Drosophila melanogaster: one gene and its partners. The protein of the gene in region 2 interacts with the protein of the main gene of each other region in a pairwise test. Each region holds a gene or a part of one and is shown on either strand. Other genes may lie near its edges. The genes, in order: Prat2, Tbcc and CG1638.

Region 1 (11,615 bases), on a different chromosome or scaffold from region 2:
CTTCATACATATTTATTACCTCAACGCGCTTTTGTTGTATTTGCTGTTGTGCACAATAACCAACATTATACACACATACAAATATATATATAAAGGTATAATGCACTTAATTTCCTACCTGTGTCCGCACAGAAAATCCCCACCCACATCCCCGGTTTTCCATCGTCGCAGCTCTCTGCGTGCAAGCCACAAAAATTAAATTATATTAGTTCATAATTTTAAATTATAAAATTCAAGTGGGGGGGGGGGGGTATTTGGTATGCTGAATGAGCTGGAGCACGGAAAAACTGACTTCTTGGGATTGCCCTGCGGCATCTCCATTTTCCATCCAAAGCCAGCGTGGCTGATCCAAATGCAATTTGAAAATTTTAGAAAATATTTAGAAAATTAACGCAAAGTTGTGGAAATACTGTGTTGAGTCGTCTGGTTGGTTCGCCCAGCAAAACTTTATTCAGTTGCTTCTAAAAATATTATGCAAATTCCGTTTGAAGCTAATGCTGGGCGGAAATTGTGGGGCGGACATTTGATTAGATTCCATTTTGGGAATAGAAAATTAGCTGGGAAAATGCTTAAAGAGGACATTAAATTCGCTCTGATTTGGTTTTTATGTGGAAAAGCAGGTGACCTTTTCGTAGCTTAGATTTAAAAATGTTGATTAAATAGATTTTAATCTTAAAACTTGTACACAATATGAAAAGTTAATTATCTATTTTTTATTGTTCATAATTTTTAGTCATTTCAGTAATTTTAGTTATAAGCATGTTTCCATAAATTTGTTTAATTTATTTAAATGCTTAACATTATAGTTTAAATAAATACCAGACAATATGTTGCGAATCCCAGCTGACCACTTACCTTTTTCTGTTGTTTTGGTCAAGCCAAAGTCCTTAAATCAAATTACCAGTTGACAAGGAGTTTTCTAGTCCTTGGCATCAGGGGTTTCGAGGAATGCAAATTTCAGTGGACAGGAATTTCGTGCCTTTTTGCGTCGGACACATGCCAGAAATGTCTTGAGGCCAAGAAGACGGAAGTTTGATTTGCTAATGAACTGGAGAAAGGATGTTCTGGCTGTAGCCCTTGATATCCTGGCAGCCCACAAAGTGCTCTATTGGCCAGAAAATTACATTTTATACGATGTCGTTTTGGCCATCGCATGTCTTGCATGCCGGGCACGTTTTGCGTGCCTATTGCAAAGGACATCGAGCTGGCAAAGGAGTCCTTTTCTTTGCCTTTCGACGGTTCGTGTGGCTTTTGGCCCCTGCCACTAACTTGTTGCATGTGTCAAGTGGCAGAAGGATATGCCTTCGATGCCCCCGGCGTTGATGTTTAAATTAAATTTTCAGCGGCGACAATTTCCATCAAGTGTTTGGATAATGGCTTCATAATCCTCATCTACGGCCGTTTCATTTGCATGCGATTGCCATAATTTCGGCTCATATATTTACTCAGCCATTTGACTCAATAATAAGCTTGATTGTTTATACTAGAGCTGACTTTTCTCCTTCCGCTTGCGAAAGCTTTTTATTAAATTGCAAAAACGGCTGCCAAATTTATTGCAATTTTTTTTTTCTACCTCTCTGCCATCTTTTAAAATCCCCCTCACAATTTTCCGACCCGCTGTCTGCTTTTGTTTTTGAAGTAGGAAACATTCTGAAAGTGCAAGGCGAAAAAAAAGAAATGCGAAGGAGAAATAACATGGGGAACTTAAGTAAACATTAATTTACATAACTTCTGTGCAAATGACGACGGTGGGCGGGCAGGCCGAAGTGGGCGGGGCCGGCTGTCGTCATCGGGCACGAAAACCGGATCCGGATCCCAAGTCCGGACGTGGGCGTCAGCGCTCTTGTAGCCTGGCGTTATTAAAAAATTTAAAGCATGTTTTGCGGCGCAGAGGTGGGGCCTTTCCAGGGCGGATTTTCCAATGGGGGTTCTTCATCTGGGCTCCTGGCAATATGGCACTGCTTAGTTGTCACTGTCTGCGGCAGTGGGCACAGGATGTTTGTGTTTGTGATCGACGGCGCACATAAGCAAACGCTCTCGCCTCTCTATGCCATTTTTTTTCCGTGGATATCTTGGTCCTTCTGTCGTATCCTTGTGGCAGCAAACGACGCTGGTGTGTTGGATAGAAGTGCCAGCGTCTGTTTTCAATGTTGCCAGGAGTCGTTTCTTTTATGTAGCCACTTGGTGAGAACTCAGATGGAGTGGTGATGGGGATCCGCCGTAAAAGGGAAGCTGACAGGACCCAGAAATTCCTCTACAGCTTTTGGAAAATTTTGAAATTATAAAGCGACTTTGATTTTTTTCATATCTTATATAACTTTTAACTTCTTAAAAAAAATTAATAATTTACTTTATTAGTGTGTGAAATAAATTATGTTTTCATGAAGAATTTAAATGTTTTTATAACATTTCATTGTCTTTGTTTTTTAAATAAATATAAATGTTGTTACATTTCATTTGCCAAAACCTGAACTGCTTGCAGTATATACCCTTCACAAGAATTAATCAAGCGAGTTACAATGACAGTGCAGTATTATTTTCTTCTCTTATGTCCTCGCCACACTTCAGCGTAGGGAAACCCACTCCCACTTTCCCACCCAGACCCATTCCCACCCCCAAATTTTTCACCCCCACCCCCATTCCGGCTTTGCCAATGCCGCGCAGCTTAGCGAAATTGTTTGCGAAAATACAACACAATATTCAAGAATAATGATGACATTGTTGACTCCAGTACCCGGCGCGAGTCATAAAAGAAAGAAAGAAAGAAAAAAGTTGTATACGATGAGAGAGGATACGGATACCCCTCTGCATAACCGCAAGGACATCTTCCGCAGGATTAAACGCCCTTAACGCCCCGCTTTAGACATTGCAACGCCCCAACTGGGGAGACTCCGCAAGAAAGAGAGCGGAACACAAGGATGTGGGTGGGCGGCAGGACATAGCCGGAAAGAGACGGGGCGAAAAAAGCAAACACGATTACCATATTGTATGATATGGGGCTATATCTGAGCGCGGCTATAACCGGAAGCGGGCGACTCTACTTCCTCCACTGCCCCTGAATCCCTCGGCACACAGAGCTTGGAAATATAAATTGAAATGAATTGAAGTTATGGCATTAGACAGTTTTGAAAATAATCAGACGTTGATGTGGCCCATTAGCATTTAGAGTATGTGTTCCTTGCCTGCGAGAAAGTCAAATAAAGTGAGGAAATAAATAAAAAAATTTTAAATGGTTATAACTAGTAAATAAGTTAAAGGTGGTAACAAAAAAATGTTAAAATTATGTCTTCTTTAAGATATTTTAATATATATATGTATTTTATATATAATATATGTAACTGCTTGTGTTTGTTATTTTCCAGAATGTTTGAAGCGTTCAAATATATGTCCTACTTATTATTCCTTATCTCGAAACAAAAACCTCTATATTGCTTAATTAAAAACAACATTTTTTGTGATAGGTCAAAGACCCGAAATTTTAAATATATTTATTTATATACAAGCTGAAGCTAAGAACTACCTTAATCCTATGAAATTAATAATTGCTGAGAGATTCTACCAGCTGAGCTCCTCCGGCAATCCGCCAGGATACTCGCCCGTTAGGCAAGCGGTGCAGTAGCCAGCTTTGAGTGGATTCACATGGGCCTTGTTCATCTGGACGGCCTTGACCAGACCCTCCACACTCAAATAGGCCAGACTATCCGCACCCACGTGATCCGCCAGCTGATCCGCATTCAATTTGTTGGCTATTAGCTCCTCACGAGTGGGTATATTGATACCCATGTAGCAGGGATATTGCAGCGGAGGACTGGCAATGCGAATGTGCACCTCGGTGGCGCCGGCATCTCGCAGGAGTTTGATAATCGGTCCAATGGTATTTCCCCTCACTATGGAGTCATCGACTAGCACGATCCGCTTGCCCTCGACATTTTGAGCCAGGGCACCAAACTTTTTGGCCACGCCCAACTGTCGCAATCTCGTCGAGGGTTGGATGAACGTGCGGCCCACATAGCGATTCTTGCAGAGAACTTCCCCGAATGGCAGTCCCGACTCCCTGGCATAACCATGGGCAGCTGCTGTGCCCGATTCCGGAACCGAGCTGACCAAATCCGCATCTAATGGCGATTCCCTGGCCAACTGGCGACCACATTGCAGGCGGGCTGAGTAAACCATCTGACCCTCGAACATGGAATCACTGCGGGCAAAGTAGACGTACTCAAAGATGCAGAATGCCATGCGCTTATAGTCCGGTCTTTCAACGATATCCACGGTTCTATAACCATTTCGTGACAGCTCGATGATCTCACCGGGCTCCACCTCGCGAACATATCTGGCTCCGATGGAGAGGAATCCGCAGCTTTCACTACTGACCACCCAACCCTCGGCCAGTTGGTCATTGATATTCGCATGTCCTGCATCAACGGGCACGATTTTTCCCAAGCACAGCGGTCTATTGCCATAGGAATCGCGGACAGCGTAGATCTTATCCTTGTGCATCACGACCAGGGAGTAGGAGAGTGGAGCCAGGGTCATGAAATGGCGAATTCTGGCCGGCCAATTGGGTCCATCGTGCTCCGACACATCCTCTGGTGCACAGCACAGGGATTGGGCAATAAGTTCACTGTCACTGTGCGTAGACAGGCCCACTCCTCGCTCCAGGACCTCCCTCCTCAGGGACTCGCAGTTCACTAGCTCACCATTGTGGGCAATGGCCAGTGCTCCATGGGCAGTGTGCACCACAAACGGCTGGCAGTTCACAACTTCCGAGGCTGCGGCCGTGGAATACCGGGTGTGTCCTATTCCCAGGTTACCCTTTAACTTCCTGATCGCCTCGTCATTGAACAGATTGTTGATCATGCCCATGCCCTTGTGTACGCTGAAATTCTTGGAGGACTTGCCCAAACTGGTCACTATTCCCGCCGACTCCTGGCCACGATGCTGCAGAGCCACCAGACCGAGGCAGATCATCTGTGCTATGTCCAGCTGAAAGCAGAAAAATCCCATTTAGTACTTTATTTTCCTTATTTTTTTTACAATATAATAATAAACGTGAATATTGAATAATAAAGACCAGGGGGTGCTGTGCATCGATATGGCGTATCATTTTCCAAACTCAGTATTAAGAATTGTTATTTTAAGCTTAGTTATTCAGCATTTTCTTGAATCAAATCACATCAGATCAAAGCAACTTAATACTTTTTTTTCTGCATACCTAGCCCAACATATAAGATAGTTTAGTAATGCTAATTCCAATCAGTTGACTAGCAAAACAGATAACTGTATGCCGATTTCCGACCGTGAATACACCAGTACTTTCTGTTATTTTCCATTTCATTACAGTCGAGCAATAAAAACATGAACAACAGAGATTACAACCGCACGGCAAACCAAATCCATGCGATTCAGTTCGATCTCACTGACGTCACCGCAGCCACTGGGCATTGGCCACAGATAGATGGACATCGTTAGAAGATCAGCAGGGGGTGTATCTGAACGGGGCTAACCATTGACCCACTAACCATTGATTGGCATACGTCTGACGTACTACATGGTCGTCCATAGGATCTTGCTAAACGGGTGATGATGGGCTTGTGACAGCCCCAATGACTTCGAGATATTGATATAGTTATGATCGGCATTTCATGGTGGCTATCTACTATGTCCTAGTAATATTTATTATATATTAACAATTGATTGTAATCTGCTACACATATTTTTCCGGAATTTTCCAAGTATTATATTTAAGTTTAATTTTGCTTTAAACATTTTTTCTTAAACCCAAATTTTTACCTTTGTGTTTTTCTATACTATATGTCCTATCTGTCCTATATTACATATTACATTAAAAAAAAAAATATTTTGTTCTTACTTGTGTTGGGTAATCCCCGCAAGCGATGGCTGCAAAAACACCGCATTCGCAGGTCATTCCGGTGGCATCCTCTCCTTTGGGTTGAACAGACTTGTAGATTTTGTCGGGAAACATTTTGGGAGATACGCCGCTCAAGATCACATCCTTTGTCTTCTGGCAGCACTCATCTGTTGCAGATTGCAGATTTAACTGTGCACAATCACTATTAAATATTTATGAATTCTTACCTTTATTAAGCTTGGCACAGCAATTTCCAGAATCACTTTGCGCCATCATATGCTTGGATTTTAGTAACTTCTATTTCTACGTATGTTTTGAGTATCGATTTTCTTGGTTGAGAATTGGTATTGACTACGATTGAGACACTGTACACTTTGCACGAGATCGCTGGCTAAGTCGAACACTCGGTCACTACTGGAATTGTTCACGTCTGCATTGATTGAATGCCAGCGGAATTATGAATGTTCATGTTACAGCCGCGCCTAATTAAACCTCCGATCATCGTACATATATGGCTGGTAGCTGATATACTCGTCGTGGTTATCAGTTGAGCTGGGAATGCAATCTCGGCGGGCGGAGCGGGATCGGGAAGATTCCGGTGGTTCCACAACCGCATCGAGAAACGCATGTCGGGCACAAAATTTGATACCGCCGCCGATTTATGCCAGTTATACCAAAAATAAACACTGTGATTCCTTTCTCACGTTTTGGCTTTGATCAACATCATTCCGATTCAATGACCGCATTATGTCTGTCTAGTCTTCAAAATCACGCATCTCACTTTGGCATTGATCTCAAATCAGCAAATCATATGCGCCTTTTTAAACGAGTCCGACATCGATTTCCTTATCAGCTCGATGCGCTAGCACATGCATTTCAAGTTCAAAGTTTAATAATTTATATTTAAGGGCCCCCCTTGGAGACAGAGTCAGCGAAAAATCTTCTTGTCTTGCCTAAGCTTTTACATAATCCATCCAACTTTCATGTTGACACTTTGTTGCTTATCGGGAAAATGCGTTCAATGACGCATTTTAGAAGTGTTTTCCATTTCGGCGTAAACAATAACAGATTAAATTATGTTTTCCTTTTGCAGCTTAAATGGGCTGTGCTATCGCGAATGTACGCTAAATTCCAAGCCCCCCAGTAGAGCACAATCGGCGAGGGTTGATCGATCCGCTCTCGATCGCACGATTAAATGAGGGATCGTAAACAATAAACAAATTCAACTTCAGTCGCCAACTAATCACTTGTGCTAATTATAGCCACCAGTTGATATATATTACATGCAGGCCACTTGTTTATAGGCTAGAAAACCCAAAGCCATGTGATCGCTGATCAACTGATTTTCAATTTAATTATTATTTTTTTTTTAGCACTAATTTAGCTTCCGATTGGGATTCGCACCTCATCTGATGCAATCGAAGCGACCGCAGGCATAAGCCTGCTGTGGTTAAGTCGTGTTGTCTACCTGTTAAAGTGGGTCTCTCGCCCTCCCCAACAAAACCGATTCACTTCGAATAGGTGCTAAGCAGAACTGAGGGGTCCAGACAAAACACCGCCGTATTTATGAACGTGTTGTATAAGGTCGGCGAGAACGGGACATTTTTAATCGCTAGAATAAGTTGTTTAAATAAACAAAAAATATAATAGAGTTGTGTTGAATTAAAAATTCAAAAATTTATTTGAAATAACTATTCCAATATCTGGATAAGCTACTTTGAATGAAAGTACTATCGCTTTGTGTTTGAATAATTTGTCTATTTACTATAATCATTATACTCCAAATTGGCAAATAGTAAATAAAAGAGTATGCCATTCTTCCAACCAACAATTATTGCCACTTTCCTAATCAAAATACGCGTAATCCCTTCGCAATCTCCATTAGCATCCCCATGACAATTGCTCTATCAAAACTTAAAGTTTCCATTTCCAAATCCGTCGATTCATAGTCGCCCTTTAACAAAGAGATAACCCATATATAGGTAGCCCCCCATCATTACCTTTTATTATCAGCATTTTTCGGCCAAAACAACAAACAATCAAGCAAACAAACGAAATAAACAAAAACTAAGCAAACAAACAGCAAAGCGCAGATAATCAGATGCGGCATATAATGTGGAAATGAGCCTGACTTTTTGGAAGAACCGAAATACTATATGCTGTTTGGGGAGGGGTGTCCAAGAAAAATGACCAAGCGAAAATCGCTGCGATGGGTTTGGGTTTGGGTTGGGTGGCAGTGAGACATGTGTAACCACTTGAATTTCATTTGGCGAAAAGCTTTATCGAAAATTATGCGAATGTTGGTTGACTTTTGGCCAAGCGCCACCGAGCAGGCCGAATTGCTCCGCGGGAAACCTCCTCCAAAGCTCCACCTTACCGGAAAAATAGAAGTGGAAGCCGGCTAATGCACTGACAGAAATGGTTGCTTAAGAAATAGTCAATAGTTATTTCCCTATAAATAAAACAAAAAAAAAAATAATAATAATTAATAATAAATAAAGAAATTTATAAAAATAAGGCTTATAATTTCAGAGAAGAGTTTGTGTATTTGTATATTTTCTTATTAGTAGTATTACAGCCCTATTTTAAGTTTAAAATTTTGTTTTTAATTTCTAACTTATGTTTTAGGCTTTTAATTCTTACTGTGTAGGCAGCTAACTGCTTAGAAGTCTGATAAAAATCCAGCACACACTCACAGCTAAGCAAACAGATAATAAAGAGGAAAATGATGCTTCAGCAAGTGGGTTGGGTTGGCTTGGGTTGGGTTGGGTTCGCGTTTCCAGGAGGGACTTTTCGCATATGTGAGTGCCACACCCCCTGCTGCTCCTTGGACTGCTGCTCCTTCGCCTCGTGGAGTGGCGTCCAGTTTGCAGCTCCTGGACGATGGACCATGGATTGTGGACCATGAACCACGGACCGTCTGCCTCATGCATAATTCAGCAGAATTCTGAATGATTATTCTTTATGGGACTGTTTATTTCTTTTGACCATTTATTTCAAGTTGCTTTCGTTGCCACGCTGCGTTCCCCTGCCCTCCTTTTTCATTATTTTTATACAGTTTCCAGTTGCTTGCGCTCGAAATGATTTTGACCAACGGTGACGCAAAAATCATCAAATGGCCCCGGACCCCATGGCCACATATCTATTGAGCCAAAAACGTTATACCATATACCATACCATCCCCATTCCATTCCACCACTCCATCGCGAATCACCGGAATACGAATCATCCTATCCTTTTGGGCAACCACACATGGATTGGCGCCGCCCACTTTTTTTTTTTTTTTTGGTAGAGGAAAGTAGCCAAGGGCTCTCGGTTTGCTTTCAACGCATCATTTCATTTTATTTTATGCTCTCTCCCGAAGAAGTGACCACCAAAAAAAGGGGGAAAATAAATTTTATTTGTTTTTCCCCGCCAGCCGCAATTGAATAAAATGTTCTCCTAATGCTGGCATTCAAGTGGGCAATTATTCTAGCCAGATATTGCGCAAAAGTTGCAACGGGTTTAGAAACCTTGCAAATATAAATCAAGCCATTTTTTTAAATTCTAAGTTCTACATATTACTATATAGATATTAATATCTTTAATATACTAGCTTTCTAAATACTTTTAATCAACCTGAATGCCTTTATCTTAACTCTTGTCAAGTCAATCGCAATCAGCATGGCTGGTAAAACTTTAATTAAACGCACAGTCCAATTGCTTTTCCTTGGCCAATGGAAATTTCAATTAAAACTAATTGAAAGCCGCATAAACTTGGTTTAAGTAAACAGAAACCAGAGTCTCAGAAGAACTTTGATGATTACTCTCCATGCCAAAACCAAAACCAGAAGCCACAAAAATATCGAAAGGACAGCTTCGGTTCGAGGACCCTTCCCCATCGTTTTTCGTCCAGCGTTTTTAATTCGTTTACGTTTATTATTTATTCCAAAGAAGCGGGGAGAAAACACAGAGTTGGAAAGCTAAAGAAATCCGTCGTTTAAAATTTGTTGTTCTGCCGTTCCATCCTGTTATTTGTCTTTTCTGGCATTTCTTTATATACAATTTGCATTTGCTTTATATATATATATATATTTACCATATAGCACACAATTTTCATTTCTGTCTTTTGTTTTCGCGATGGTTTTTCTTTTCTCCTCCATCATGAATTTGCATAACGAAGCAGTCACAACAACAAATAGTAGTCCCCCATGAAAAAAGTGGGCGTGTAGACCCGACTGGATGATGGACCAGCTCCAGCAGCTTTCAAGTTTACTTAGTTGCCAATTTGAGGAGCGTTCCAAATTGTCCAGCGATGTGTACCGCCGCCTTCACGCCCATCGTCGTCCAACCAATATTTCTTTAATTAGTTTTCCCTGGTCGAATACCTCATCTTTAAGAACTAGACCAAAAATCCATGTGGCTTTGTTGGCGCTTTCTTAAAGCCAACTTGTGCATTCGTAATGAGCCACTGATTGATGTCTGTCAAAGGGGGTCGCAACGTGTTTACAGTGGGTTCCGTTGTAAAATCTTAATGACATTCAATTTGTGGCACATTAGGCAGTTCCCAAAACATGTGTAACACCCAGAAATAAACGCGAGAAGAGACCTTCTCTTTCTCGGACGGGTTAATTAGCATTTCGAAAACGTAAATTGAATTACCAACACAAAGTGTAAGCGAAAACAGAGCCACCAAAAACTGCTCCAGTTACGCGTGAGAATTTCAGGCCATTTCTCGCTAAAGGAACTTGCCACTTGTGCGCATAAAATTTCAATTTTCACAATCGAAATGGGAATGGAAATAAAAAAAATATATAATAAAAGGGGAGAATGGCGACACATTCCCAAGGCGAGCTGCTCAATTGCCGGCCAATAATCATAAAATTTAATAAACACATTTTCCACTAGCCTTTGGTCAACTGCTGACCGTTACTAGTCAGAGTCACCCCCGGGCATACAGTGGGCACACAGTGGGCAACAGTGGGTTAATGTATGCAAAACGCATTCAAATTTTATGTATCGCCCCGCAACGATCTCGCTGGGATAGTCAGCTCCTCAACCCCTCGAAATAGCCGCAGTACAACATAATTCGAATGGGACTGGTTGGCTTTTTTGGTGTGGCATGTCTGGTTTGAGTTCCAGTTCCGCTCTTATCTTCCACGGTCTATTGGCCCTCGTGGGTTCTATCTCCGAGGGGCTTCTGTGCATGTAAATTGCATAGTTTCGGACACTTTGGGTCACCTAATGAGGCCGACTCGTCGGCGTCGTCGTCTCAGTTTTGTATCTATATCTGCTGTTTGGCATGGGAAATGAGCAGATCTCCGGGGAAGACAAACAAAGAGACCAGCGTTTTGCACTGACACACTTTGATCACCTTTAGGATGATCTGATCTAGTTTGGAATGGGCTTGGCAACACTCGCATCCAAGGTGCATTTGTCAAATAAAATAAAATATTTGAAAGGAATTTAACCAACTGTTTACCTAGAGTATCTACTGAAACTTCATCTTTCTAATATAAAATTGTTGAAAAATGGGAAAATACCCATAAGGGCTACAAATTAAATTGATTACTTACTGGTACTAAATTAGTTTGTTTCTGAGCACTCTGAATATAAAATCCAACAAGGATAGATCTATTCTATTAACTAAGTGTACTCCATTCTTGTAAGGCCACAAAAATATCCTCCCATATGTGTGCGAGCATTTATCTTGCCTCGCTTTTGTCACTTTACAGGCAATTGCACTTTATGAACCGCAAATCGCATC
Region 2 (10,466 bases):
CTATTATTTTTTTCTGCACTGTTTTGCCTACTTGCCTGGTGCGCTGACCATTTATTTAAGCTTGACACTAGGTTGTCCAAAAGGTTATCACTGTCACTCATGTATTTTTATTATCAATACTCTTTGCATAGGTTATAATATAATAATAATAATAATATTTCCAATTCGTTCAACAAGCGTTATACTTACAATATAATAATAGTGATTAACAAACAATTTTAAGGTAGATGGTCTTAGTAATTAATATTATACTTTATGTAATCACGAAACTTTTATTTCTTAGGTTAGAGTTAATTAGCCAAAGCCGCTGGTTTTGTCTCCGGATCCTCCTTTTGTTATTTATTTATAATTATTCAGTTATCGTAGGTTTTTATATCCGTTTGGGCGCCAATTATCATTTTAGTAGATTTTCCATATATTTATTAGCGTAAGTTTATTAATTACAATAGGGCTTGCGCGGTCTGCACTTAATGAGACGAATAGTAAGTACGTGGCGATGACCGACGCTTCTAATCTTCCAAAATCGACTAACTTAAGTAAAGCAAGAGTTCTTATCTCTAAAGCTTAACAAGTTACAGTTTCTTATAGGTAAAGCTCGATCTATAGATGGGAAAAGCACTTGAGGCTTACGACTATATTTCGGGTGTTTTGTGATTGTGTTAACTTATACATGGCGTATGAGTGATATTTGGCTGAATTGATCAATCGCTGTTATTCCTACCTAGAAATCACACTTTGGGCCAACACATTAAGGCCGCTTAACTAAATGCGTAAATTAGCATCGTTGGCCACATCAGCTGAGCCATAAAATCCGCACACAAAGGCATTTGCGGATTGCATGTGGGTCACCGTGGGCATAGAGCGAAGGAGCCAGGACGAAGGTAGCGCGGCTCGGTGATTTTGCAGTAATTGAAACCATCAAAGTGTGAGAGAGTCAGGCAATTACAGGCACTGCGATAATATTAATGTGGGGGCGGTCACCGTTGTTGGGTCCTCGGTCTTATCGCAAATGCGGCGAATATTATCTGCGATAATGAGAAAACTAATTGTGAGCTATGCAAATGTGGCACCACCAGATGCACCTGTCCGTATTGTGAGCACACATGCATACTGTATGTGTGTATGTGTGTGTGTGTGTGTGTGTGTGCGGCCGGAATTACCAACACAGTTCAAGTGTGAAAGCAATTAGATTTGATAGTGTATCGGCTTCATTTAAATAAACGGATATTGCAGTCGCTGGCAATCGCCAAAGACGATAAGATAGAAGAAATAATCAGAATCTTCAAGTTTGAAAGACACATTAAAATATTTTATATTTTTAATATAATATATGTTTAGTTTAAGAAGTGATCCTATTTCCCATAGCCTGCCAACATAAAACGCACCATTTGATATTCAAACGTTATTATGTTGAAAATGAAACTAAACCTTGGTAAGACTCGAGTGGAAATTACAGGTGAATAGCAGGTGAGTGCGAATCATGTGCACTTGACATGAACTGACAGCAAATTGATGCAATTTCGTCACATTATCGACAATTCATTTGCAATTAGATTGGAACAATTTCTGTTTGTGTATTGCTTATGGTATTGAAATGGTAAATAAGTTGTTAAAATGTATTGGAAATAATAGATACAGTACATAACATTTCAATACGGGTACATACCTCTTAATCCTTTCATTCGGAATTTTAAAATGATTTATCCATGCCACTTTAAATTATATTTGTATTTTATATCACCACACCATTTAAATTTGATTAAACTTATATCACTCCAATATCACTACACTTAAAAAAATAAATAAAAAAAGCAAAGCAAAAGTCGTTGCTATATTATACACCGTAATTATGTGATTTGTGTATTTATATACTCATTTTCCTTACATTTATTTACTTGTAGCTTACTTGTAGTAAGCTCCCAATATGCACTATTCCTCATCGTGAATTCACATTGAATGAAAGCGAAGTTTAATGAGATATTGAAGATCAACCAAGAGATAAGCCGAAAATCTGCGCACTTTCGCGTTTTTCTTTACTTCACTTGCTGATCTTCCGTTGTTTCGCACTCTGGTATTTGTGCATCTGTTATTCTCCTTGCTTCACACCGTTTTTGTCACTATCCTCAATTGTGACAGCTCATTACCTGCTCTCAATTTGGCTCTCCCCCCTTCCCCCTTCCAATCTAACAGCATCACCGTTACTTGTGTAACTCGCAGTTCAATTACCTCGCTAATACGAGTTGTCTCTTCCGATGATTCCTCCGCCTTCATGAGCTATAGCCACATACATACATATATACCACACATGTACTTATTTGCGGAGATGCATCCCCTTCTTCACCGCTTGTAACTCGAATTCGTTAATTATTTTGACAGTCGGCCATGTTGACAGCCGCAAAAGTCAACGGGATGAGAGAAATGGTGAGTGAATGGGGGAAGAGTAAAATAGCTTAACAGTTAAGAGATGACGAAGAACAGATACTCTAACTTAAAATTGCGTATAAGTTTTGAAGTTGACAGTTCGAAAAAACTAAAATAAACAAAAATAAATTATTAATATCAATTTAGTTTTGCATCAAATCAGAAAACGCAATGAAAAGCATATGTACATACGAATTTGCTTTTCTAAAGTATTTCTTTACTTTTGCATTTTCAGAACAAACCTGATGTGTAAGTGGAGTGACCCGATCAATGTGCAGGCAATGGCTTGAGAGGTTCTGTTGTGGCCACATGAAACTTGCATGAGGCGCCGTCTTCCGCCCATTCCGGAATGTGTGTGGCAGCCACAGCCATTTTGGCCAACCACTGATTATGCCACATCCGAATTGGACATGTCAAATTAGCCACGACATAAACAAGAACAGATACATATGTACATACGCATGTACATATGTACATATGTTATCGAAGAAGTCAAACTTTAACTCACCCACTCCAAAATGATTACTGCTGAGATACTGAAAAAAATTTTGACAATGATTTGGAGTCCCTTAATATACAAGAGACTATTTTTGTTTTTTACATAATGGTTATTTAATCAACACGCTTATAGCTAATTACACAGATCGAGGATTAGATTTTGGGCCTGTAACTGAGGGCCGCAGCAGCATTTCCCAGAGCAGCCAACCGAGGATGATGCCGTAGGCTAGCCAACCGAGGAGCAGCCGCCGATGCCGCCACTAAATGATGGATATGTCCTTGACATCCTGCTTAAGTTCGCTGTTATGGTTATTGGCAATAAAGTCGCGCCTTAAGGCGTTCCAATTCGGATCGGGATAATCCTTGAGGAGGCTCCAGTTCGGCGAGGGGACATCCGGCGAAAGCCAGTTAAAATCGGCCACATCCGTATAGTTGTTCTGTGCCTTATTCAGTCCAGAAGCTAGGTAGTCGGCCTCCAGTTTGGAATAATCGTAGTTGTACTCTCCGATCTCAATACTCTTGCAATCCTCGATTATTGCGCGGCAGGTGACATGCATGTATATGCGAATGGACCGGGAGGAGTGCAACCTCAACTGCTGGCAGGCAATGGAGAGGGTGCAATCCTCGAGATTCTCGGCGAAGAAGGAGCGTGCGATGGGGCCGCATAGCAGCGTGCATTTGGAGGCCCTGGAAACCTGCACAGAACCGGGATGACCCTGCAGTTCAACCAAACAGTGGTTCAGTTTCGATATTGTGATGTCCTGGCCATTGACTTTAGCGGAATCCAGGACTATATGCTCGTTCGTTCGATTGGCAATCGTCCACGTGAAATTGGAGCCTAGTTTTTCTGGGACTTTACTGAGTTTCGCGTCGACTATATCCTTATTTGGAGGGACTTTTGGCTTTGTGACGGTCTTTTTGCCACTGAAACCAAACTTTTTCTTGGGCAACAGGCGCTGGCGGGTTTCATCACTGACGGCGGTCAGGGTGTTAAGGATATTCTGACAGGATTTGATCTTGAAGTCGGGCAGAAACATGGTGGATGCGGTGAGATATCGCTGCAGATCCTGGATCTCCACAGTTATGTCGGCGAAGTTTCTGGCCAAATCGGTTGGCTGGCCATCGCCGCACTGCACATCCTTTAATCGCTGCTCTATATCCATGGTTTTTTGGCTGAAAGTCTGGTAGAAGTAGTCAACGCCCTCGTTCTGCACTGTTTCCTTGGAACGCAGCTCCGATTTCACATCCAAATAGTTTTGCCTGTCCTTGTTTCTTTTGTTCAAACGCTCGAGGATTTGATCCTTGCGATTTTCCGCGTCGCCTTCCATGATTTTCGGTATCAATCTATAACGAAATATCTGGTTAAAAATCAATTTCTAGGGCATAACTTCTATTTGGCCGTATGAATCACAGTTGTTGTTGTTTTTCTTGCCAAGTTGCGCAGCTGCAGAGAAATGCATGGAAAACGCGGCTTTCTTACTGGGCACGTATCATATGCGCAGTGATTGTAGTTCAAATTAAGAGAAATTATATTATTTTTATTCTGTTTATTAACCTTTTGTTTAATTTTCTTATTATTTTGTGCAGCTGCTCACAATAACAAATGTTGCCTAATCGTTGTGAGTGTCAACAGTTATGTACTAAAAAAGACCAAACAACATTACCGTTTAATGCGCACGGTGAATGGCAACGGCGGCAAGAAGAAGAATACGCGCCAGGGAAATTTTAGATTTGAATTTTTTATAGGAGAAATGCGATAATATTAATTATGAACTCTTGTAAGCAGCGTAAGAAACTTAATACAATCAAACATCTCGCCGAACACAAAGCACATTGAATGTCGCCCACAGAAGCGATAAATTCTTGATAAATGCAAAAACGGAATTAAATTTAAATTATGGGTCTTATCTTTTTTGCTCTGTAGAACCTTTTACATAAAATGCGGATCAGTACGTTTTATTTCTGCGCTTGCAGTGGTTGTGCGATATCAAAATGTTTAGGCTTGAAAAATGTATTGTGTACTTACTTGTTGCCTGCAATCTGGTTGAATCACGAGCGGAATCCACAGAAAATTCCCGATCCGTGTGCCTTCTGAAAGATCCGCCAAATCAGTGCGGAGAATTCTGCCTTTCGGTGCTCCAACCGCTATTGGATCACATTGTAAAGCACCAGGAGCAATGGAACACCTCCGAGGCCCTCTGGCTGAACGAAACCCAGGGCAAATTGGACAGGATACAGACCCAGCTGGCGGCACAAGCGCTATCCTTGGAGGAATCAGCGCAGAAGGTTCCAGGAGACATCAAGGATAGACTGGACCGAATGGAACATCTTCAGACGACACTGCAGGAGTCTCTAAAGAAAATGCCAGCTGAACTCGATGCGAGGCTAATGAAAATGGAAAATCAGCAAAAGACATTGGGCGACCAGTTGGAAAATCAAATCAATCTCACCAAGGAATCTCAGCAGGATCAGTTGGAAGCCCTAAAGAACGCCATGCCGATAAATTTCGAAATGCGGCTGGCTCAGATTGAAGAACAGCAGAAGTTACTTCAGGAAACTCTAAAGAAGATCCCAGAGGATTTTGAACGGAAATTGCAAAAGTTGGAGCAGAATCAGAAGGATGAGCTGACCAAGCTGGGAGCTCAGCAGTCCGCCAACCAAGTCACACTCAAGGAAATTTATACCAAGGTCTTCTGGCCGAAATTTGAGCGAATCGGCTCTAGACTCTTCTACATAAATCACAAGGATGCCTACGACTGGCAATCCGCTGTAGACTTCTGTCGTGACATGGGTGGCTATATAGCCGCCATCAAGGATCAAGAGGAGCTGGACGCCATTTCAGCGAGACTGGACGACAAGAGCTACTGGCTGGGCATAAACGACTTGCAAAGCAGTAACACCTACGTATCCGTGGCATCCGGCAGGGAAGTTGAATTCCTCAATTGGAATGCGGGCGAACCCAATCACGGCAATGAAGATGAGAACTGTGTGGAGCTGATTAGGAGCAAAATGAACGATGATCCGTGCCACAGAAAGAAGCATGTTATTTGTCAAACCGACAAAGAAGTTTAAATGAAAACACTGTCTTTGCATATTCGAAATAAATAAAAGATACAGATACTAAAAACTATTCCCAAACTGTCGTAGAAAGTTGATTTCTCTTTGCGGCGCTCTTTTACCTTTTAGTTAAATACATAATCGCAGTATGTATGTAGTTATATATAGATAGAGTAGTTATAGTTGTGTGCTTGATGTGTTGTGCCCTACTGCGTGCAAATGTCCTAAAAAGCATTTGTACTTCTAACATTCATCCTTCGTTCGCAACATTTCAACACTTAAGTACTAGAAAAATATTAAAGACATATTTATTCCGTTCCGATATTTGGTTGTAACTTAGTAACTCGATTTGGGTTCGTGATTCCTGTGCATCCTGATTCTAATTCCGCTTCCGCTTCTCGTTTAAGGCACATTACACATTCCTGAATATGATGTGCGTTTTACATAGTAGTAGTAGTAGTAGTAGTAAATATTAGATAAACACGTTAAAACTATTGATTTGAAATTCACTCGCTAAATTGCGTGGGAGTTTGTGCTTCATAGTCAGCGGGAAATCCTCGTGTGACGGAACGAGTTCCAGCTCTACAATGCATATGACCAGCAATTGACTAAAAAAAAAACTAATCCACCACGACCCCAAAATCGAGGCCAACAAATATTGAAAACCAAAGGTAAGTAAATTTCTCGGAAATGTTTTAGCGCATCCTTGCCAGATCCTCCTTATATAGATCATGATAGCTCGCCAATTGGTGCATTCTGAAGCCACAGATCGTGAATGAAGTTGTAGAGATTATCGCTGACAGCCACCTGAAAAAAAGTGAGACATTGGTTAGACCCTTTTCGTAAGCCAAATCAAATGATTACACCCACCTTGTAGGGCGTCGGGTTGAGCGTGCGCTTGTGATCGTTGCGCAACGTTTTCAGCGAGATTTGCACCTTCTCGCGTACCTGCTCCAACGTGGGCAGCTGCTGGCAAATCTTGCCCGACTTCCAATACACCTTGTAGAGCGACTCCACGTGCGAGGGTATCACGTAGGCACGCTTCGACTCCTGGAACGGATGCCGGCACAGTACCTTCTGTCCCACCGCTGGCGGCGGCTCCGATACCTTCTGCAGCAGATCGATGAGCGCGTGACCATCGGCGCTATACAGCCGATAGGCATTCTTGTTGCCCGGCATCGTCACCTTCTCCACGTCCTGGCTCAGTTTGATACGCGGCTGGCCGTTGATCTCAACGAGCTTGTACACACAACCCAGCGCCGGCTGTCGTTGGCAGGTAACTGCAAAATACACAATATTTACAACACATTCAAGATTTCAAATGTACATAAGTACAGCAAACTCACCCAAATGCGTGCCAATGCCAAAGCAATCGATCTTGTGCCCCTGTTCGTTGAGACTCAGAATGGTGTCCTCATTGATGTCGTTGGACGCCACAATGGTCAGCTTGTTGAACCACGGCACCTTGAATCGCTCCGCCACCTTCTCGAACGTTTCGCGTGCCAGGCAGGAAAGATAGGCCAGATCCCCGGAGTCGATTCGAATTCCAAGCGCATGGTAGCCCAGATCGTTGAGGGCCAAGGCCACAGCGCTGAAATTCAGCAAGCCACTCCTGTGGAGAAGAAATCACAAGCATGTGTTTAGAAGTCGCATCTATGGATTCCAACAAGTGCTGCTTGGTTTTTGGTTTTCAATTCAACGTTAAACTCATTTTACTCATTTTGCTATACAATATTTTAAATTTGGTTTTTGGTCACTAGTTTGAAAGCGAGAATTACGCAAATTCAAATGTTTCGAAAGTGAGGTGGAGCTATAAAACGTGTTTCAGAACTCAAATTGGTTCTCTTCGATTTGCAGGTGCGGCTCTTTGTGTTCGAAATTTGAAGCCTGGGAAAATGCCATAATTTTCTCATAAGGGGAGCAGCAGCACAAAAAAGTCGAAGTTATTCGGTTTTGTTTTTCAAGCCATGCAGTGTGCTCTCTCGGACGCTTTTCTTAACTATGTACAGGTCATAAAACCAACGAAAAAAGAAAAAACATTTTTGAAGTTCTCTTTGTTGGTCGTAAATAAAATGTTTCGAAAAATATATGTATGTAACAATACAAAACTGGGGCACAGAAAACAAGAAAATTTAAGTTTAATTTCCTAAAACCAAAATGTTTTCGAACTGAAGACGAGGACAATAAGAACGGGGTTTAGTCTATGACAGCATTAGGGTGAATCAGTGCGTGATTTCGTAGGTTTCTTTTTCATTTATGTGCTTAAAACAATGCAGAAATAAAGCGAACAAGTTTACTTTTTTACGTTTTGTTCAACAAAACTGTTTAGCTTTGTTAATAAACTATTTGGTTATGATCAAGGTTCAGTAGAAAATTGTTTTAATTGCACTTCTCTTGATTGTTTTATGCACCTGGTTATGTGTTTGTGAGCTTAAGGATCGTATATCATTATGCATGAACTTTGGTTTCGTTTGTCGTATTTTTTGCTTTTGAGTAGGTGAATTGTATGCCATATGATATTTTCTCATGTTTTTGTTGGTTGAAGACGTGTGTTTTACATACCTCTGCCAAAATAGTGCCGGAAGTCATTTGTTTACTATGTTAGGTTCGTAAATTCTTTTCATTTGCTTTCGATATTTTATGGTTTTCTGATTCTGATTCGGTTTCGATTATGTTTTCGATTTCTATTTGTTTCACATTCACATTTAGGACGAGAAAAAATAAAAAGCATAATAAACAAAAGTCAGTTAGAAAAAATAATATGAAACGGAAAAATGTATAATGATAATTGAGCGTGTGTTAGTAGAAGAAAGTGATACGAAAAATTACACTGTAGAAAATTGGGCGGGCAACAGGGAGAAAGCAAAGCGATAAATTAAATAAATAAAATAAAATGACTTCACCTGTTCTGGTTGATTTTCATTGTTCGAATCTATTGCCCGGATTAGTTCCCACTCTCGAGGATCTTTGACCAATTTCGTGACACCAAAGCAGAGGACATATACATGGACATATATTATATATATATTAGCTTAGATATATAAACGCATATATGCATATGTATATGAGGTTTGAAATTTTGAATTTTGTATCGAAATTCTAGTTGAATATTTCTCCACGTCGTCATGCAAGGCTTATATTAGTAAAAATCATAGTTCAATAGTAGAGCTAACAAAATGATCCAGGATAGTAACTTCTAAATTAGATTTTTGTTAGTTACATTTGAAATAATGAGCGTAAAGTCTTAAACAAAAAAGCAGAAGAAAATGCTGTTAAAAATGCAGATGTGATTTATGATTAGGATTAGGTTAGAAGGAAATGACAATGGAAAGATAGATTAAGTAAATGCTTTTAAATTCGCCTATTTAATCATTTGATTTTTCTATTACTGATTGGTCTGCTTTCGATAACGACATTTACCTGAATGACTTCTCGACATATTTTGGTAGGTATGCCGTCCCATTGGACACTGTGGTTGTTGTCTTTAAGGTTCCTGTTGCTGTTGCAGTTGTTTTCGTAGTTGTTGTGCTGGTACTAGTATCTTGTATATCTGTATCTTTTGGCGTTCTACTGCCATTATTCTGAGCAGAGCCATTCTGATGACCATTGGTGGTCTTGTGGCCGTTTACGTGGCCAACGCCCTGACCATTTTGATGGCCATTGGTCGAGGGACTTGCCTTTGGCTTTGGCGGACTGTTCTCAGACTTGATATCATTGATATGCTTTGGTTCTGTGTTGGCTTGTTCTGTTTCTCGGCTGTTGGATAATACTTTTGATTATTACTCAAACGAAAGAACGAAATGAAAAGCTCAAGAAATGATTGGGATGAGGCAGGGAAAATTAAAAACTCTTCATTGGCGGAGCCTTGTTAGCTATGTATGTATGTAATAGTTACTCTGGTTTTTGGGTTTTTGTAACTGGCTGGTGCACGTCTCGAGAGTCTCAAATACAATACGAAATATAACAAAGAAATCCATACTCAAAATAAACGAGGGCAAGAAGAGGGTTACCGGGATAGTTATGGGATAATATCACAAACGTAGGAATAAACCGAAAACTAAAACCGTTCCGAGAGAATCTGCCTAAAAGCGAAATACCTCTTAACATCGTACGTATCGACAAGTGCCATGAATCCATCAGGGAATGCGATGGCATAGGAGACCATCGCAGCCAGTTCCCCCTCACTAGATTCCTCCGTAGAAACGTCAAGGAGATGCGACAGCAATGCCCGGTGCCTGACAGCATGCTCCAGCAAATCTTCCAGGATGCCTAGGAAATGGAGTTTATCATTATGGTTTCTTAATGCTTAGTACAGCATTTACTCACCTGTCTGCTTGTGCTTAATTAGACGGGTCTTCAGCTCTCCAATACTACTGAAACTAGTGATATAGGCATGGGCATGCGTTCCCTTTACGGGTATGTTGAACAATTTTCCAGCCAGCACATTGGAGGTGCCATCAAAACCGCCTGGTAAAAGAATAAGGAATGAT
Region 3 (10,469 bases), on a different chromosome or scaffold from region 2:
ACTGTTATAGGAACTGAAACTATATTTGTAACTTTCAGCTCTTGAGTAGAAATAATCAATGCTGGGGAAATTATGTTTTAATTTGGGGTATATAGATGGTATGTTTACAAACTGAATTGGTATTTCTTCGGTAACCGGGTGGTATTTTTGTATCGACCGCCCTGGTCACACCGCTCTAGACATAACCTTCCTTTTCCAATAATTTTTGTGCTGTGTACACGTGTTTCACAATGGCACCCATCGAGAAAGCTAAAAAGGTGGCCAAGTCGGCCAAAAAGGGCAAGAAGCACCCCGTCAACTCCTACCTGAAGGGCGGTATCCTGCGTTACTCCAAGGCCCAGGTAAATATCGCCGGAAACAGTGGGGAAATGGCCTCTGGCCCGAGTGACGCCTCCGCCCGATGAGAAGGCGCAGCAGCGTGGCTTACTTGTGGTTCTCCGATTCCAAGGGATCCGATACTTGCTCATCTATCCGCGGGATGGACCACACACCATCCACCCACTTTGAGTTAGTTTTACTTGAAAACTCAGTATTCGTCAGTGCGGTTCCTGAATCCAAATGCATTTATTTTAATTCCCGTGTGTTCAAGTGGCTATGAGTACAAACCATGCATACTTTGCCTAAATTGTTTACTCTTCTCACAAATAAGTTCAATAATCCTCAATGCCCTTGCTTGTGACTGTGCAACAAGTGGAGCGTATTAGTGATACACGTAAACAAAATAACCCCCTAGTTCAAAGGCTTGTGGATCAAGGATCAAGCTAACCACTTTTCCAACCTATTTCAGATGTACAAGCGTCGTGCTCTGTACCGCCTGAAGGACAAGAAGAGCCCCGTCGTGGAGAAGGCCAAGGTGCCCATCAAGAAGGTGAAGAAGATCGGAGGACCCAAGAACGGCGGTGAGCGCACGGTCTTCCTGAAGAAGAGCAAGGCCTCCTACCCGACCAAGACGTTCGTGAAGAAGCGCCCCTCCAAGGCAAACTTCAGCGAGCACAAACGCAACACGCGCCGCAACCTGACCCCCGGAACCGTGCTCATCCTGCTGGCCGGACGCCACCAGGGCAAGCGCGTCGTCCTGTTGAAGGTCTTGGCCTCCGGACTCCTGCTGGTCACCGGACCCTTCGCCCTCAACTCGTGCCCGCTGCGTCGCGTGTCCCAGCGCTACGTGATCGGCACCTCCTCGAAGGTGGATCTCGGTGCCTTCAAGGTGCCCGAGCACCTGAACGACGCCTACTTCCGCCGTCTGAAGGCTAAGAAGGACAAGAAGACCGGCGAGGCCGACATCTTCGCGGCCAAGAAGGAGCGCTTCGTGCCCAACGAGCAGCGCAAGAAGGACCAGAAGGAGGTGGACGCCGCCCTGCTGAAGGTCATCAAGGCCCATCCCGAGGGCAAGTTCTTCGCCAAGTACTTGCAGAACATGTTTGCCCTGCACTCCTCCCAATACCCCCACCGCATGCGATTCTAAGCGAGGGGATGGATTTGGTTCTTCAGTTTAAGGATTTCTAAAGCAAAAACACTGTACAAGCGCGCCCGCTGGTTAGACTAACAGGATTTGTAAAATAAACCTTACAAAACGGAAAGTTTTGGCCTTTTCATCAAAGAACCCCAGCTGTGACGATTAGTTCATTTTCTAAAATCCAATAATTGCACACAAGCATCAATTTAAATTCCTTTCTACAATTTTATTTCATTGATATATCCTATAAATTATAAAATAACAGCTATAAAGTTAAAATTCCATCAGATTAACATATTTGGATCAACTACAACTTCGATTTACATTAGCGCTAATTCTAAGTGCTGATATGATTTGAGCTCTCTTTGGCCACTTCGATAGGATCGGGGTACTCCGGCTGCAAGTGCAGAGCGCCCAGGAGTTTCCGCCTACCGTGGACGTACCACAACATCTCTCGGTAGGATCGCGGGAGGACTTCGTCCAGCACCTTGTCCGCCCGATAGGTCAAGTAGAAGACATTGGTGGTCTGCACTTTGCCGCTCTTGGCATCCCAAATCTGGGCCACGGTCATCAGCTGGACGTAGTTCTGGGCGGCGTAAACAACGTGGGCGGTGAGCTGGAGGAACCGATCCACATGCACCGGGTGCATGAAACTAATGTCCGAGATGCACCTGAGGGTGGGCCGATCGCCCAGATAGATGCTAGCCATTATGAAGCTGATTTCAACGGCCTGGCGCATGAGATAGCCCCCAAAGATGGTGTTCTGCGCATTCCTGTTCTCCGGAAATGGAGCAATCATCGTAGACTGCATAGAGTCCTCCATCCAGCGGCATTTCGGCGGCAGCACACGCTTGTTGAGATCCATACTATTGGCTGGGGTGGTTCTCTTGAGGATCTCGTACATGAGGGCCTGTTCGTGCTCCCTGGGCGGCGAGTTGAACACTGAGTCCATGGCAGAAGACTTGCGCACTTTTTGCCGCTTCTCTGCCTGCTCCCAAATGAGCTTCTCGGTTTCATCGCCAACCTCTATAGGATTAATGGGAGCCGGTCCCGTATTGGTGGCATTTCTGGCCACCATGACGAAGATTGCTTTTGTTACATCAATATATTCGCCGTGGGCCAACTGCCTCACATAGATGGTAATCTCCATGGAGCTCCGCCCCGCCCACGAGATGTGACCACTGATCTCGATGTCCTGGTTGACCTGCAACCGCTCCAGGTTGGTGAACTCCACTTTGTCGACCAGCAACGTGACAAAGGTGTAAGGCAAAGGCACTCCCTTCGGCAGCTTGGGCAGCTTCACATGACGATGGCAGATCCATACGGCAAACATGTCCAACTCCTCCATAATTCGGCCCAATCTCACCCTTCCCAGGTGATTCACGTAGCTCTCGCGGATTAGCTCACTGGAGCTCAGGGGCAGAATGGCCGTGGTGTGCGAATCCAGCATAGTTCTTGGTGGAAGCTCCTCCCTCTTCGGCTCGTGCTGCAGGAGATGATCTCGGGGCTTGGGAATCGTATGGTATCCCACGTCCACGCCGGATTGCTCGCGAATGACACGAGCCACTAGGGGTAAAGAGGTGTCAGAAAGGTTTTCCGAAGCGAACATAGACTCTGACTTACCCTCCACCATCGTTCCAGAGCGATGATCGGACTTCACCTTGGGTCCGTTGTCTAGCGTATAGCTCCTGGGCATCTGCTGGCTCGCCAAAGGGGGGGGACTTGTGGCCAGCAGTCGCCTTCGCCGGGCAGTCGACCAAGAGCTCCTCCTCGCCAGCGCCGTTCCAAAACTCCGTGCCAAGGTACACAGCATCGTTTCCAGGTGTCTAGGTTGACGGGGCCTTGGAAATTGCAACTAGTTGAACCGCCTACTGGGGGGATCCAATGGCATGGATTTTTTGGGGAAATCACTTGCAGGGCACTTGGGTGTAGTTCCCAGCTCCTAATACGTAATACGCCTCAGCTCGTTCGGATTTACATGAAGTGCTTTCACTTGGGCTGCAAAATAGAGAGTGATTCTAGAACCGAGTGGAGCGTTGGCAAATGTTCCGCGTTGTGCGATTACATGGCTCTCCGGCGACTGAGAACCCGCGCATGACGATCACCTGTCCGCTTGGTGAGAGATCTTCTGCCTGCACTGCAAGAAATAGCGTAGGTTCTCGAGCGGATTTGTATATTTTGATCTTTTGGGAATTAAATCTTTTGAAAATATGTTAGATTATTTGATGCTAGAATGATGTGATCCCATAATATTGTACTGACTATGTGTTTGAATATATTCCGTCTCTAGCACAGAAACATCTTATTTTTCAGTGCATCTACTCAAGCTTGCAATCTAATCTGAAATGAGGTGTAAAGATGATGTTTTCGAAAAGTGCCAGACTAGCGAAGAAGATGGAAAGTTTTACATTCAATTTTCGGTCTGATTAGACAGCAAAACATTACCGAAAATATAATGTTTTCTATGAATCAATTGTGGACCCAATCTAATCTGCGGAGTGGGAGTAGGGCTCACCACCAATCACGTGCGTGCCCAGAACATTGGCAGTGGTCATGATCTTCACGCAACTGGGTATTCGAAATAAAAGCCAGGGCCAACGGCCAACTATACGCTTTCTGCTTTCGATAAGGAATTTGAATAGTTACTCGATTTAATAGGCATCATATAGATTTTTGGATCAGGAAATATCACCTGGCACAGTTTGGTTAACATATTTTACAAGATTTGCTCAAACTAATCCAGTCTTTGTGTACATTAGCTATAAGAAATACTGACTACGTGAATTTAAACTGAGCGGGAATTTTTTTTGAGGCTTAGCTTCTGCTGGCAATGAACTTGCGGCGACCATGGATGTACCACATGGTTTCGTGGTAGGAGCGAGGCAGCACCTCAGTAACCGCGTCTGGAGCGGAGAAGGTATAGTGAAACGTGTTAGTGGTCACGTGGTTCCCCGTGTACGCGTCCAGGACTTCGGCAACAGTCATGATCTGCAGGTAGTTCTCCTGGGTGTACACCACATACGCGGTCATCTTGATAAAGCTGTTCACGCTGACCGGCTTCTGGAAGCTAATGTCCGATATGTGCTCCAGCGTGGGTCTGGCCTTGCAGTAGAGGAACGCTGTTGCCCAGCTAATTTCCAGGGCACTGCGCATGAGGAATCCCCCGAAGACAGTGTTGTTTTGGTTCCTGTGCTCCGGGAATGAGGGAATAGTGCTCATCTGGAAGGAGTCGTGCATCCAAATGCAGTTGGGAGGCAGGAGGCGGCGCGGACCGGTTTGCTCGTTGGGAGTAGTCCTTTTGTAGAGTTTGTAGATGAGAGATTGTTCCTCGGCGTTGGGTTCCACCTTGAAGACGGACTGAGCGATGAGTAGCTGTCGTTGCTTCTTCCTGTCGGTCCCGCCAGCTAGGATGCGCTTCTCCTCCTCGTTGGCAGGCTGAATGGGATTCACTGGAGCCGCAGCTGTGTTGGTGGCATTTCTCGCCGCCATCAGAAACAGAGCTCGCGTGATTTTCTGATACTCCTCATTGACAATCTGCTCCAGCCATACCACCACCTCCATGGAACTGGTTCCCACCCAGGACACGTGGCCAGACAGACGGATGTCTTGGGTGCCCTGGGGTGAGACACTGGTGAAGTCGATCCGGTCCACCAGGACCGTCACGAGGGAGTACGGCAAGGGTACTCCCTCTGGCAGATTGGGCACTTTCAGGTGCCTATTACAGCACCAAGCTACGAAGAATTAAGCAGACAATTATTCAACAACATGGCTTTGGCCAAACTAGATGGTACCGGCGAAGATGTCCATGTCCTCCAGAAGCCTGCCAAGGCGCGCGAAGCCTCTAAAGTTGATATACTTGTCCTGCAGAACTGCATTCGTGCTCAGAGGAATGATGGCCGAACAAAACGAGTCCTGCATAGATCGCGCAGGTAAGTCCTCAAACTTGGGTTGGTACTTGAGTAGATCCTCCCTGGACTTCGGCTCCGTGGTGAACCCAGGCTCCAGGCCGAAGCTTTTCAGCATCTTCTTCTTGACTAAAAGGGATATCTGGACAAGTAGCACCTATTTCTGGAATGGAAGTACTTACTCTCCGTCATAGTGGCGTATTGACCGTCCGCAGAGGAGTTACGCCCATTAGAGCTAGAAGAAATGTGGCCTATAAAATCTGATTTCTGCTAGTTGTGTTGGTGCTTCACCTGGAATTTTTATGTGTCATCTTCCTGAGGGTCCTGGCCTTTAACAAGCTCCGGCAGCTGCGGGCTCCGAGCAAAAAAGGTACAACACATAATTTAACATTTCTAAGACCAGGCCCCATGGAAACGGATCGGGATCGAGATCTGAACTCAGATCCGACACGAAATTAAAACTATAAATTTTGCTTCAGCTCTGCTTTTTTGATTACAGGTAATGGGTATCCAAAAAATGTAAAGTCGGCAAAAATTAGGGATTATTTTGACAGTTATTATATTAATAAACATTTAATCTAGTACTCTTCGATAGGGTTTAATAGAAGATTTTAAAAGTTTTAAGCTGGTTGGTTAAGCACATCATTAAACAACAGACATTTATTGCTTTTTGTAAACACTGAACTGGTAATTGCATTTATCTGGTAGGATAGCCTTGCATAATATCTTGAGTAACAATCACAGGCTGAACCATGTCTACACTGGGCCCATGCTGGCCTCGAACTTTCGACGACCTTGGATGTACCACATGGTTTCGTGGTAGGAGCGGGGCAGCACCTCGGTAACCGTGTCCGGAGACGAGAAGGTGTAGTAGAACGTGTTGGTGGTCACCTGGCTGCCCGTTTGTGGGTCCATCACATCTGCAACGGTCATGATCTGCACGTAGTTCTCCTTGGTGTACACCACATAGGCGGTCATCTTGATGAAGCTGTTCACGCTGACGGGCTTCTCGAAGCTGATGTCGGATATGTGCTCCAGCTTGGGTCGCGTTTTGCAGTAGAGGTAGGCTGCTGCCCAGCTTATCTCCAGGGCACTTCGCATGAGGAAGCCTCCGAAGACCCGGTTGTGGTGGTTCCTGTGCTCCGGAAATGAGGGAATAGTGCTCATCTGGAAAGAGTCCTCCATCCAGCGACAGTTTGGTGGCAGGATGCGCTTGTTGAGTTCCAAAGTGTTGGTGGGAGTTGTCCTTTTGTACAGCTCGTACATAATTGTCTGCTCCGGGTCATTGGGTTCCACCTTAAAGATGGACTGAGCACAGAGAATCTGACGTTTCTTCTTTCTATCTGCGCCGCCAGCCAGAATCACTTTCTCTTCCTCGTTGGCCGGCTGTAAGGGGTTCACAGGAGCCGCTCCGGTATTGTTAGCGTTTCTTGCTGCCATCAGGAACAAGGCACGGGTTAACTTTTGGTACCTCCCGCCAACCATCTGTTCCAGCCACACTACCACCTCAATTGAACTGGTTCCCACCCAGGAAACGTGCCCAGACAAACGGATATCTTGGGTGCCTGAAGCCAAGACATTGGTGAAATCGATGCGGTCCACCAGAATGGTCACAAAGGTGTACGGCAGATGAACTCCCTCCGGCAGATTGGGCAGAACCAGGTGTTTATGACAGCACCAAGCTGGAAATAGCGGATAGTGAGAAAGTGCGCCAAGATTCCAGCAAATGTGTTCCTCATACCAGCAAACAAGTCCATGTCCTCCAGAAGTCGCCCGAATCGCACATTGCCCAGATAGGTCACATATTTGTCCTGCAAACTGCGGTCCGTGCTCAGAGGAATGATGGCCGAGGTGAAGGAATCCTGCATAGCTCTTGGAGGCAGATCCTCCAGCTTCGGCTGGTACTTGAGCAGCTGCTCCCTGGATTTGGGCAGCGGGTTGTAACCGGGCTCCAGCCCCAATCGCTTCATCATCCCCTGCTTGACTGCAGACGTTCGGGGATTACGATGGGTTTGACTCTGGCAAGACAACACTTACCCTCCGCCATGGTTCCGGATTCATTGGCGACCGCTGATTGCTTGATATGCGTGGGCGGTGAGTAGTGACGCCTGTTAGAGATGAAAGTACTCATTTACCATGTAAGCTCATCATTTATTTTTTGCTCTTACTTGAACAATGCGAAGGATGCTGGCACCTGTTTGGTGGGTAATTCCATAAAGTTCCTGGTGCGGATCAGGCCCCAGCACTTTTGTGCTCCTATCAAAGAACGCATCATCTCGGTTTAACTTAGTTTCGCAGCTTTCTCCTTGCTTTTCAAGTTACATACAAAGTGTAACCTGTCTTTGATCTAACCCCAAATAGAAAACAGCTGGCGGCCACAGCTGACTGGTACAGTGGGCTCGAGAAAATTCGTCTCCAACTAATTTCGAAAAGTTCGATTCTTTAGTATATTAATTTTTTCCCATTTACTTTAATTAAATTGATTTGAGACTGACTGTTCTTTACACAACAAAGTCTTCATTTAAAAAAAATCCTAATATATCTCATTATTTTCAGTATTCCATCAACTTGAGCCCACTGTTTACAGAAGTGATACATACGTATGACGTCATCCCGATTGTTGTTAATTTTAAACTGGGAAGCGAAGTTCCCTAGACAATTTCTCAAATTAACACATTGTTTTGTGATGCATAAATTATGAAATTAAGAGATTGTACTGTTTGAATATTGACTAATTGCTACTGTATATAAAATAACATATTAAAATTAAAATAGAAAATAGTCATCGTTTGTATAAACTATATTTGCAGGTATAAAACCTTGATATTTACAAAAGTATCTTGACCCGAACGCACTTAACGCAGATATTCGACCAATAAAACAAAAAATTATGGGAATAGTAAAATCCAAATCTCTACGCTTACAGATTTAGTTCCTTGAGCGCAAAGTTCAGCACCACCGGCAAAATACCAGCATCTTCCAGATCCAAGATCTGTTGCCGAAGGTTCTCCACCGGATGGGAATGTATCATCTGCAAGAAGAGTTAGAGTGACAATAGAGCATTTCGTTAAAGTGCGCGGTTCGAGCATACCTTTTTGATCTTTTGGCGTTGCTCGCTGCTCTGGCAGAAGCTGAGTAGAGAGGCGGCCATGTGCGGTCGATGGACGACGATGCAGAGCTGGGCGAACTGTAGCAGGTTGAGGGCGTGCACCACCGGACAGCCCTGCAGGCGCAGCAGCGTCTTGTGGAGCACCTCTTCCTGCTTAAAGGATCGTAGCTCGACTGCGTTCTGCAGAGGATGGCAGAGCACATAGTCCCAGGCCTGGGCCAGTCCATCCAGGTGAAGTAGATGCGGCCGGCAGCTGAGTACATCCAACAAGGCGTTCAGCTCGCGCACCATATGGAACATGACCATGCGCTTCAGAATGCCGTTCCAGATCTGCGGCAAGTGTATATCAAAGCCCAGGCAAATGTTGGCCATGACTTCCAGCGAAAGGGGATTCTGCGCATTACGCTGCCAGATCATCTTCAGAATGTCAATCTTGTTGCAATGGTCGTCGGAGAACTTCTCCAGGTTCGACTTGTAGCCCAGAGCCTTGAGCTCGTGCACACACTTGATGCTGATGAACTGGCGTTGGCTAATCGTGTTGGTAAAGGAGTTGCTGCCATCGTTTAGCTTGGAATAGCACTCGTACATTTGCAGCTGTGTGGAGGTGTTTACCGAACTGGTGGAAGGGTTTATTCAATGAATTATTTTCGCTAACTTTTAAGTACCAATCCTTACCCGCCCTTGAAGATCAGACCCACAAGGAACTTGACTGCCTCCGCCTTTGGCCAACTGGAAAGTATGTAAAACGCTCTATTTACGTTCTCGCTGGCGTCCTGGCTGTTGGAGGACTCTGCGCCGTTGGCCTGCTCCGGCCAGTTCTGCTCCTCCATGAAGGTCTCCTCCAAAATGGTACCATCACCCGCAGACTCCATAGTCAGAGCGAGCCACTTCTGTAGCAGGCGGTACTGGATGGTGGCTAAGCAGAGGTCGTGCAGCTTGGCTATCTCTGCGACCAGAGCGTTAATATCCACTTTGCTGGACTTGAGGATCAGCTCATGGTGGTAGAGCGCCTGAATAAGCTCGGTGGGGTTCTCAACTTGGCGCAGTAGCTTCTCATCGGTCAGGCCATAGACATACAGCAGGTGCTGGGTCTTCTGAATAGGATACCGTCGCTTCACCTTGGCAACCTGCTCGCGACTCTTTGGATCTGTAATCAGGTGGCCCTTCTCCTTGACAAACTTCCAGCACTCGTAGGAGGCCTCCACCTGATCGGCTCCATCACGAGCATAGTTGGACACGAAGTACAGTATTAGAAATGCCTTGTTTGGGTTGTTCACCTTCTCGACCAGTCGTAGTATTGACTGCAGGAAGGCATTATTCGTGGGATGAAGACTCCATGATTCCGAATCATTTTTCGACTTGTACTCCGATATCGAATTCTTTACTGCTGACATGCAGAAGTAGTCACAGTTCTGGGAACTATCCTTGGATCCCTTCAAAGCCGTGTACATCTGAATCAGTGGAAACCAGCTTTGGCAGTTGTCCACGTTTAGTTCGCTGTCTGAATAGAAGAAGCGGAAACTATAATTAAACAGAAGCATTAAGCATTAAACTATTTCAGTTGAATATACCAAGAATATCCTTAAGAGGTTGCTCTACGATGGGCTTAAAAGGCAGACGATATCGAGATATCTTCGGCATAACGCCATTTTCCCTTTGTGATTTCAGCCACGTGTCGGTTTCCACCTGACCTGGCCGATTGCGTCTTCTGGTGATCATCTTGTGTCTCAGGAAGTGCAAAATGTTCATCCAGATTTCCATTTCCTTCGGAGCCGAATCGAAGTACATTAGGATGTTGATCACACACATGTACAACTCGTAGAAGTAAATGTTGATCTAAACGATTTGCAAAGATATTAAAAAAAAGATTATTTGTGGCATCAGTGAGCTTACGTCTTCAATAAAGTGTTTTAACTTGGAAGTAAAGAGCTCGACATTATTGATTTCATTAATGTACGGTTGGCACATATCGCGCATTTCCTGGGCGCTGCTTAGCATA

Evidence for each region.
Region 1: the proteins of Tbcc (region 2) and Prat2 interact in a two-hybrid assay, tested with the Drosophila melanogaster proteins (one large-scale study listed by BioGRID).
Region 3: the proteins of Tbcc (region 2) and CG1638 interact in a two-hybrid assay, tested with the Drosophila melanogaster proteins (one large-scale study listed by BioGRID).

What each region holds. Positions count from the first base shown.
Region 1 is NT_037436.4:6,908,545-6,920,159, forward strand, and holds Prat2 (phosphoribosylamidotransferase 2), read right to left. Parts: upstream 6,333-11,615; 5' UTR 6,146-6,332; coding exon 6,097-6,145; intron 6,037-6,096; coding exon 5,870-6,036; intron 5,421-5,869; exon of another isoform or gene 5,213-5,420; intron 4,984-5,212; coding exon 3,556-4,983; 3' UTR 3,455-3,555; downstream 1-3,454.
Region 2 is NT_033779.5:4,183,237-4,193,702, forward strand, and holds Tbcc (Tubulin-binding cofactor C), read right to left. Parts: upstream 4,558-10,466; 5' UTR 4,331-4,557; intron 4,264-4,330; 5' UTR 4,248-4,263; coding exon 3,180-4,247; 3' UTR 3,014-3,179; downstream 1-3,013. Other genes in the region: lectin-24Db, read left to right, coding at 4,912-5,991; Naprt (nicotinate phosphoribosyltransferase), read right to left, coding at 6,706-6,783, 6,847-7,256, 7,323-7,588, 9,397-9,732, 10,074-10,245, 10,303-10,443.
Region 3 is NT_033777.3:31,585,920-31,596,388, reverse strand, and holds CG1638 (uncharacterized protein), read right to left. Parts: upstream 5,809-10,469; 5' UTR 5,772-5,808; coding exon 5,653-5,771; intron 5,597-5,652; coding exon 5,544-5,596; intron 5,491-5,543; coding exon 5,248-5,490; intron 5,188-5,247; coding exon 4,271-5,187; 3' UTR 4,073-4,270; downstream 1-4,072. Other genes in the region: RpL6 (ribosomal protein L6), read left to right, coding at 231-341, 788-1,465; CG1774 (uncharacterized protein), read right to left, coding at 1,794-3,022, 3,080-3,269; CG1635 (uncharacterized protein), read right to left, coding at 6,118-7,043, 7,103-7,345, 7,399-7,469, 7,530-7,636; rod (rough deal), read right to left, coding at 8,282-8,392, 8,453-9,086, 9,146-9,971, 10,042-10,306, 10,364-10,469.